Linked DNA regions of Caenorhabditis elegans. The protein of the gene in region 2 interacts with the protein of the main gene of each other region in a biochemical or structural test. Each region holds a gene or a part of one and is shown on either strand. Other genes may lie near its edges.

What was found.
Region 1: the proteins of hda-1 (region 2) and lin-53 form a complex in vitro, tested with the Caenorhabditis elegans proteins (one study listed by BioGRID).

The regions. Positions count from the first base shown.
Region 1 is NC_003279.8:9,617,651-9,621,326, forward strand, and holds lin-53 (putative histone-binding protein lin-53), read right to left. Parts: upstream 2,111-3,676; 5' UTR 2,108-2,110; coding exon 1,952-2,107; intron 1,898-1,951; coding exon 1,314-1,897; intron 1,267-1,313; coding exon 753-1,266; 3' UTR 561-752; downstream 1-560. Other genes in the region: putative histone-binding protein rba-1, read right to left, coding at 1-260, 308-451; nra-2 (Nicalin), read left to right, coding at 2,583-2,660, 2,706-2,857, 2,905-3,031, 3,090-3,633, 3,676-3,676. UniProt on the Caenorhabditis elegans protein: Core histone-binding subunit that may target chromatin assembly factors, chromatin remodeling factors and histone deacetylases to their histone substrates in a manner that is regulated by nucleosomal DNA.
Region 2 is NC_003283.11:14,523,386-14,527,942, forward strand, and holds hda-1 (Histone deacetylase 1), read left to right. Parts: upstream 1-2,003; 5' UTR 2,004-2,022; coding exon 2,023-2,196; intron 2,197-2,242; coding exon 2,243-2,360; intron 2,361-2,405; coding exon 2,406-3,272; intron 3,273-3,365; coding exon 3,366-3,592; 3' UTR 3,593-4,026; downstream 4,027-4,557. Other genes in the region: ril-1 (RNAi-Induced Longevity), read right to left, coding at 100-263, 423-528, 577-726.

The DNA of each region.
Region 1 (3,676 bases), on a different chromosome or scaffold from region 2:
ATAATGAAAGGATTATGTGGCATGTAACGTGCCCTATGAACTTCTCCTGGATGGTTGATTTTAATCTCAGTATCCCATTTTGCAGCGCTGCCCTCTCCATAACCTCCGAACTCTTCACGTTCCGAATCCCATTTAGCGTCGTCGAATTCTGGTGTGTCTGTCGTTATTGTGAACTTTGAGATCATGAGATGATTCTGAACTCCTCCACAAGTATGTGTTCCATGAATCATTCGATGCATCGATGAATCCGAGTTCTCTGTCTTAAAAAAATAATGAAGAAGGCGAAATCATATTTACCGATTCTTACTTTTGTGACATCAGGCATCCATTGCACTGATAAAGAAGGCCACTCGACCTCTTTTGTGACGACTGTATCGTAGAGATATGGAACATTTTTCTTCCAAATTCTATGTTCTTTACTCGTTTCTTCACACGATTCAGCTTCACTCATTGTGCTCTGAAATTGCCTGAAATAACAAAAGATACAACAAAAAACCAAAAATATCACAATCTGAGCTATCACAACAATCACGTTAACATAATATTTCAAAACAGTTATCTGACAATGGTCATCGAATTTATTTCAGGTTCAACAAAATATGATCATATCTCAAGGTAACATTTTAACTTTAAAAACTTAGTTGGTGAAGAATATGCGTTTGAATAAATGGTAAGATGAACAATTTGTTGAGATGCAAAATTAAAGAAGGATAGAAGTTAAATACAAATAATTTAAGCGCGTTTCACGTATTTTACTGTTGTCTCTCTACCACATCGGCTGGAGTTTCTTCGTCAACTTCGTTGTATATGTTATCAGCCATTTGCCACACTTGGAGAATATTGTCTTCTGACACACTGCACACAACCCAAGGCTCGTTCGGGTTCCACGAGAAATCGCTGATCTTGGCGGTGTGCCCACCGTGAATAAACAACAGCTCTGGTGGACCATCTTCCGCGTCTTCGGCAGATTGGTCTTCTCCAATCTTAGATAGGTCCCACACATGAAGACGTTTATCAGTACCGCTGGATGCAAGAATAGTCTCGTTGTGTGGACTCCACTGAACTTGGAAGATTTCATCACGATGTGATTCAAATGAGTGAAGTTTCATTCGTAGATTACGTAGATCCCAAAGAGCGACAGTTTTATCAGCTGATCCGGTGGCCAGAATGAATTCGGAATATGGATTGAATGCGAGACAGTTAACTTCGGCAGAATGAGCATCGATACAGTGTCCAGGAGTGCTTGTGCGCACATCCCAAATGAGCCTATAATTTTTAATTAGTTAATAAATAGAAAAAAAACAAAAGCTTACAATTTCTTATCGTCACCAACCGATCCGAAGACACCATCATGCAAAACGTGCCAAGCAACATCTTCAACGACTGACTCGTGACCTTTGAAAACATCCTTCGCTTGCAATTCCCCGGCAACATTCTGATTTGCGTTGATATCCCAATGACAAACTGTCTGATCATCTGACGCTGATAGAATCAAACCTTCTTTGTTTGGATTCCATGATAATCCATAGCCTTCCTTCGTGTGTCCTTTCAGTCTGATAAGCGGATTGAACGTGTTATCACGAGGAACAGCAGAGTGCTTTAAATAGTCGAAAATGTAAACATCAGCATGTGGAGACTTTGTAGCAATGATATTCGACTTTTGAGGCATGTAACGAGCTCTGTTAACCTCCCCTTCGTGGTTAATGCGAATATCGGGTTCCACTTTTCCGTTAACAGCTCCGAAACCACCGTATTCACTGCGCTCGGTATCGTAGCGAGATGCATCAAATTGGGCATCATCCGTTGGCATACAGATCTTAGAAATAAGCAAGTGATTCTGCTCATCTGAAGTATGAGTTCCAAGAATGAGCCGATGAATAGTATGGTCGCTGTTATCCTAAATTATTTGAATTCACTTCATGAAAGTTGTGAATTATATGAGAACACATACCTTCGCAACGTCTGGGAGCCATTGAACACTGAGTGAAGGCCACTCAAGCGCATGTGTCATTACGAGATCGTACAAGAACGGGGTGTTCTTTTTCCAAATTTTGTATTCATCATTTGCGACGCGATCTTCGGAGGTTCCATCTTCAAGAGTGGCCATTTCCTGAAATTTTCAATTTTTGCAAAGAATAATTATCGTTCAAACAGTGTAGTTAGATAAAATAATACAACAAAGAAGGGGTGAATAATAAAATATTAATTCAATTGAATTTAAATATATTAAAACAGAGAATTTTAATGCGGGAAAGTGACCAAAACTGTAGAAGACCGATAAAACCCACTTTCAAAGTGTGTGCGCGTCGCGGTTTTCGCGGGGAGGGGTCTCGCAACGATTTGCCTTCACCGCTGTTGCAAGGTACGGTAGAGCATGTTTGGCTCATTTGAATTCCGCTCAGAAAACTCATGCAGTTTTCTCCCTACTCGGGTATTATATATCATCAATTCTGGTTTAATTCTATCGATTTCTGTAGAATCATGATAGTTTGTGTTATTAAATAATTCCTACTCCGAAAGATCTTTCATCCTAATTTGCACAGGATTCTCGTGATTTTGAGCTTAAGATATGTTTTTTTCAGATGCAGGATGAAATCATCGATTTTTTCCGAAGTCCGGCTCTTCTTTTCTACATGACTTTAATGTTAACCATTTGTGTAGTAAGTTGTTGGTAATGATTTAGAAGATGAACTCTCCATATTTAGGTGAACGGGTCCCAGCAAGTTGGAGAAGTCGTAGAAACCGAGTTTCATGCGTACCGTCTTCATCAATACGAAATCAGTGGTAACATTTATGGATGCAAAAATTATCGCGTATCATATGAAGCTGTTTCCTTGGGTGCAAGAACTCTTCGCAGGTTTTTTTGGATATTTCATTTGTAAATAGTAATATTTTAATATCTAGAACTATGGTTACAACATGGCGAGATCTTCTTACAACAGATGTCGATGACATGTGGGCACTTTCTACCGGTGCCGTGCTTATTTTCATTCCCGACAATCTTGATGAACTTAACGATATTGATCGGAAGGTTAGCTTGAACATTTAATTTCATATTGCCATAAAAGTTATTTATGCTCATTATTCAGGCATTCATCGATCTTGAAGCAAAGTTGTTGAGCGCAAAGACCGACTTGGCTGTTTATGTGGCTCCTTTCAATGATGACGCCGTTTCTATTCTTCACGATGTCAATACTCGCTCGGAAAAAGCTCCCACAGCCCTGCAACATTTGCTTCAATCACTTTCCGGAAACACAATCAGTATCACTTCTTCCGATCAAAGTCCAGAACTTCCACCTTCATACAAACCACTGAATATTGTTGGTCGCTTGAGTAGTGGAGATCGTGCTGCACCTACGATTGCATTTGTGGCACACTATGACACACAATCGGCCGTTCCAGGAGTCTCGCCTGGCGCTGATTCCAATGGGTCTGGTATAGTTGCACTTCTCGAATTGCTTGCTGTTCTGTCAAAATTCTATGATTCTCCAAGCACACGTCCTCCATACAATATTTTGTTCATTTGGACAGCAGCTGGAAAGCTCAATTATCAAGGAACTCGTCACTGGATCGATGAGTACCAGAAAGGCTTTGACAGCGCTGATTATGCCAAATCTGGACTTTCTAGAAAAGGTAATGCAGTAAAAGGAGAGTGTCGTTTTACCGGTTTTGAAGG
Region 2 (4,557 bases):
AACATTAGTTTTGGATGTGCCGTTACTAATAAAACGAGCGAGGATGAAAAACAGAGTTTAGAGAGGATATTCGGCTAGATGGGAAAGAAAACGAACAATTTAGTAGTGTCCAACTTCGACCTCACCCTCCTTCTTGAGTGGGTTGTACTTCTTGAAATATTCCTTATCGGCCAACTTTTGGCGAATTCCCCACCAGTGCTCGACTTCGTGATGGTGATGGTCTTCCTTTCCTTTGGAGTATTGAACCATGTGGCGTGGCTTGACTGCAATAATTAAAATAAAAATCAGTTGAATTCGTCAATTTATTTTCAGGAAAACTTAAAATAAACTACAAAAATTTTTAATGCAACATCGTGCCAGACGAAGTTGCCAGACTAAAATCAGGAAATATACTATTTTTTTTAAGTAAATCATCAACTCACTTGGCAGGGCGAATTTGTAGACTCCGTAGAGAATGACTCCTGAGTAAATGTAGAAACGGAAGATTGGGAGGTACTTCCAGCAATGGCGCCAGGACCACATTCTCAACTGAAATTGTCATTATTTATTTTCTTCATACTTTCCGGGAAATCTTACGTATTCTTGAGCGGTCCATGGCCGGGCTGGCATGCGTGGATGAAGGTCTGTGGCCGGGATTGGAGCATTTGGAGAAGCAACGACGACGGCGGCTCCTTTGACTGTCTCGGCAGTCCACTTTGCTGCCTCAAAGAGCTTTCCTACGACCATAGTTGATTACCTACAAAACTAAAAATGATTATGTAGTTAAGCTTTATTTGAATATTGATATTTTTAAGCTAAAAAAAAAGATAATTGACATAATTCAACATCGTGAGAGCGTGGGGAAAAATTGAACGTGAATTGCAAGAAATAAACAAAATAACTTATATTTATCAATATTTTACATCGAAAAAAAACTCAAAAAGAGCAATTTTTAGCTTAAAAATAAAAAATTGGGAAGCCAAAAACTGACGGCGGTTTTCGTCCCGCCCCTTTTTGCAAGATTGTGCGTGCTCGCGGTTGTGTGCAAACACGCCGCACACACTTACGACGCTGCGTTTTTTGTCTGCCTCCTGTTCTCGTTCAAAACTGTTTCACCGTTCACCTCGTTTTTCTCTCACTTTTCTGTTTTTCTTATTGTTTTCTACTAGAATTATATCTATATTTGTTCAAAATATAATAAAAAGACGACGCTTGAAGTGTTTCGAATAGTTATTTTCACTGAGCTGCACCTGTCTAATAGACCCACCGTTCAAGGAAGAAAATATCGATTTGTAGGCACTGAATAATATTTTTTAAACATTTTTCGATTCAAAATAAAAATACTTCCAGCAATGGCGCCAGGAAATTCATTGGAGAACTCACTCTCAAATATTAATCTCAATTTCGTAAAATGCTATTATCAAAAAATATCAATAGCACAGGCCACGTGGCTTTTGTTTTTTATTTAAGCTCCTCCCACAACTTTATTTCCGAAGTGAATTTAAAAATTAAACTAAAGGTCAATCATGGGAGGAGCCTAAATAAAAAAGAAATAAAAATCAAAAGCCATGTGGCCTGTGCGATTGATATTTTTTGATAATAGATTGTGGCTGGCTAGTTTAGATTCCTGTAGAAATTGTGCCAAGAAAATTTAAATAATTTCAAGACAAGGCCCAAAAGACAGTATATCATATTGTCAGAATTTTTTATTCCTTGGCACTGGCGAAATTTTCCAGTGCTCTAAATTATTCCAAAAAACCACAGCCACCTGTTTAAGTATATGTCTTTGAAAATTATATTCCTTCAAAGTTTTTACAAAACCTCAATTCTTATATTTTTCCGCTTCAATGATCTTGCCGAATTCAGTTTATTGATCAAAATGTGTTATAGTAATGAGCGTTTTCACGTCGCGTTTATATCGATTACCAAAAATTAGCCAAAAACTCGATCAATACTGCATAACCTGTCTTACACCTTCTCCTTCTCTTCATTTTATTTTTCTTCGAGCAATCTTGTTATTTCAGTCTACTGCGACCATCAAACATGAACTCAAACGGCCCGTTGATGGAGCACGGTAAGCGCCGTGTCGCCTACTACTATGACTCCAACATTGGAAATTACTATTATGGTCAAGGGCACGTCATGAAGCCACATCGTATCAGAATGACCCATCATCTCGTTCTCAACTATGGTCTGTACCGGAATTTAGAGATTTTCGTAAGTAATATTTCTTCATTGAAATATTGTAAACGTTTAATTTTAGCGCCCATTCCCTGCATCATTCGAAGACATGACTCGTTTTCACAGCGACGAGTACATGACGTTTTTGAAGAGTGCGAATCCAGATAATCTGAAATCCTTCAACAAACAAATGCTTAAGTGTAAGTTATATTCTTTTTAAAACTAAATGTATTGTCTCATTTCAGTCAATGTTGGAGAAGATTGTCCTCTCTTTGATGGTCTTTATGAGTTCTGCCAACTCAGTTCGGGAGGTTCTCTGGCTGCTGCCACTAAATTGAACAAGCAGAAGGTGGACATTGCTATCAATTGGATGGGAGGCCTCCATCACGCCAAGAAAAGCGAGGCGTCCGGATTCTGTTACACCAATGACATCGTTCTCGGTATTCTCGAGCTTCTCAAGTACCACAAGCGAGTACTTTACGTCGATATTGATGTTCATCACGGAGATGGAGTAGAGGAGGCGTTCTATACGACTGATCGAGTAATGACAGTGTCATTCCATAAATATGGAGATTTCTTCCCAGGAACCGGAGACCTGAAAGATATAGGAGCTGGAAAAGGAAAGCTCTATTCAGTCAATGTTCCACTTCGCGATGGAATCACCGACGTCTCTTACCAGAGTATTTTTAAACCAATCATGACAAAGGTTATGGAGAGATTTGATCCCTGTGCTGTTGTTCTTCAATGTGGAGCTGATTCTCTCAACGGAGATAGACTTGGACCATTCAATCTGACCTTGAAAGGCCACGGAGAATGTGCTCGTTTCTTCCGAAGCTACAACGTTCCACTTATGATGGTCGGTGGAGGTGGATACACTCCAAGAAATGTGGCACGTTGTTGGACGTACGAAACCTCGATTGCCGTCGATAAGGAAGTTCCAAATGAGTTGCCATACAATGACTACTTCGAATACTTTGGACCAAACTACCGACTTCACATCGAGTCGTCGAATGCAGCAAATGAAAATAGCTCCGATATGCTGGCTAAATTGCAAACTGACGTCATCGCCAATCTCGAGCAGCTCACTTTTGTTCCAAGTGTTCAAATGAGACGTACGTTTTGAACGAATTTTTGTTCACTTTTTAGAATCTGTCAGAAAATTATTAGATGTTTGTTGAACACTTCATAATTATTCCATTTTTCAGCGATCCCAGAAGACGCCCTCTCTGCATTGAATGATGACTCATTGATCGCCGACCAAGCTAATCCCGACAAACGACTACCACCACAAATTACCGATGGAATGATTCAAGACGATGGAGACTTCTACGATGGTGAGCGTGAGGGAGATGATCGAAGAAACGAGAGCGATGCGAAGAGAGCAGCTCAGTTTGAGTCGGAAGGTGGTGAAAAGCGTCAGAAGACAGAGTAAAACACTAAAATGTGCCGCCGTCGAATTCAGTATCTCCTCTGAAAATAATATTCAATCACTGTACACCACTTTTTCCTTGTCAAATGAGTATTACTTTTTGATTTTCCTTAAATCTAATTTAATTTTCCGCCCAAATCCCAACTGTTTTATTTATTTTTCAAATTCAAGCACTTTTATTTGGAAGATCTCTTCACTTTTCCCCATTAATCCTTTTTTATCTCAGTATCCTTTACCCGTTTTGCACTTCCTCAACATCCTTACTCCTCACATCCACATCTAATCTACCCCCTTCAACGATTTCCATTTCTCTTGTCGTCCCACACTCCCCATTTTACTGGCACACAATTCCAATTCCACAGTCAGATCCTGAACACTTTTTTGTATTTTGGTGAATTTCTTCGTTTTTATTTATTTAATAAAATTGACTCGATTGGAACCGGCGCAACGTCTATCTTCAATTCGGAAATTGGAAAAATCGAATTTGTCACATTGGAATTCGAATGGAAGAAGACTAAAGTTTTTGCAGTTGACATCGTTTATGTCGTCAGTTTCAGCTGCTTCATAATTATTGTCTGGAAGCGAGCAATTATAACACGAATTATGATGACTACGCATGTGGTCTCATATTACAGAATAAATTCTCATTTCTATTTTCAATTGTATTCCTTGTCTGTCTTCATCTGATGTTGGATGGTGTGCTCCAAAACGGAGACCAACAAAAATTGCATCATAAAAATCCACTTATCCAAATTTTAGCCCCACCTGGGAATGGAATCGAATCGGCTCTCCGAGCACTCCTTTCACACAGAGACGGAGAGAGAAATTAGCTTTTTACTGGGTTCTTGTTGTTGAAAATGCAAAAAAGATGAAAACATGTTTCGATTCTTTCTTTGTTTTTCTTTTTTCTTTCCACTCATTCATACTTTTCATTGTTTGTCGTTCATTTTTCAAGTCTAAAATTCAGA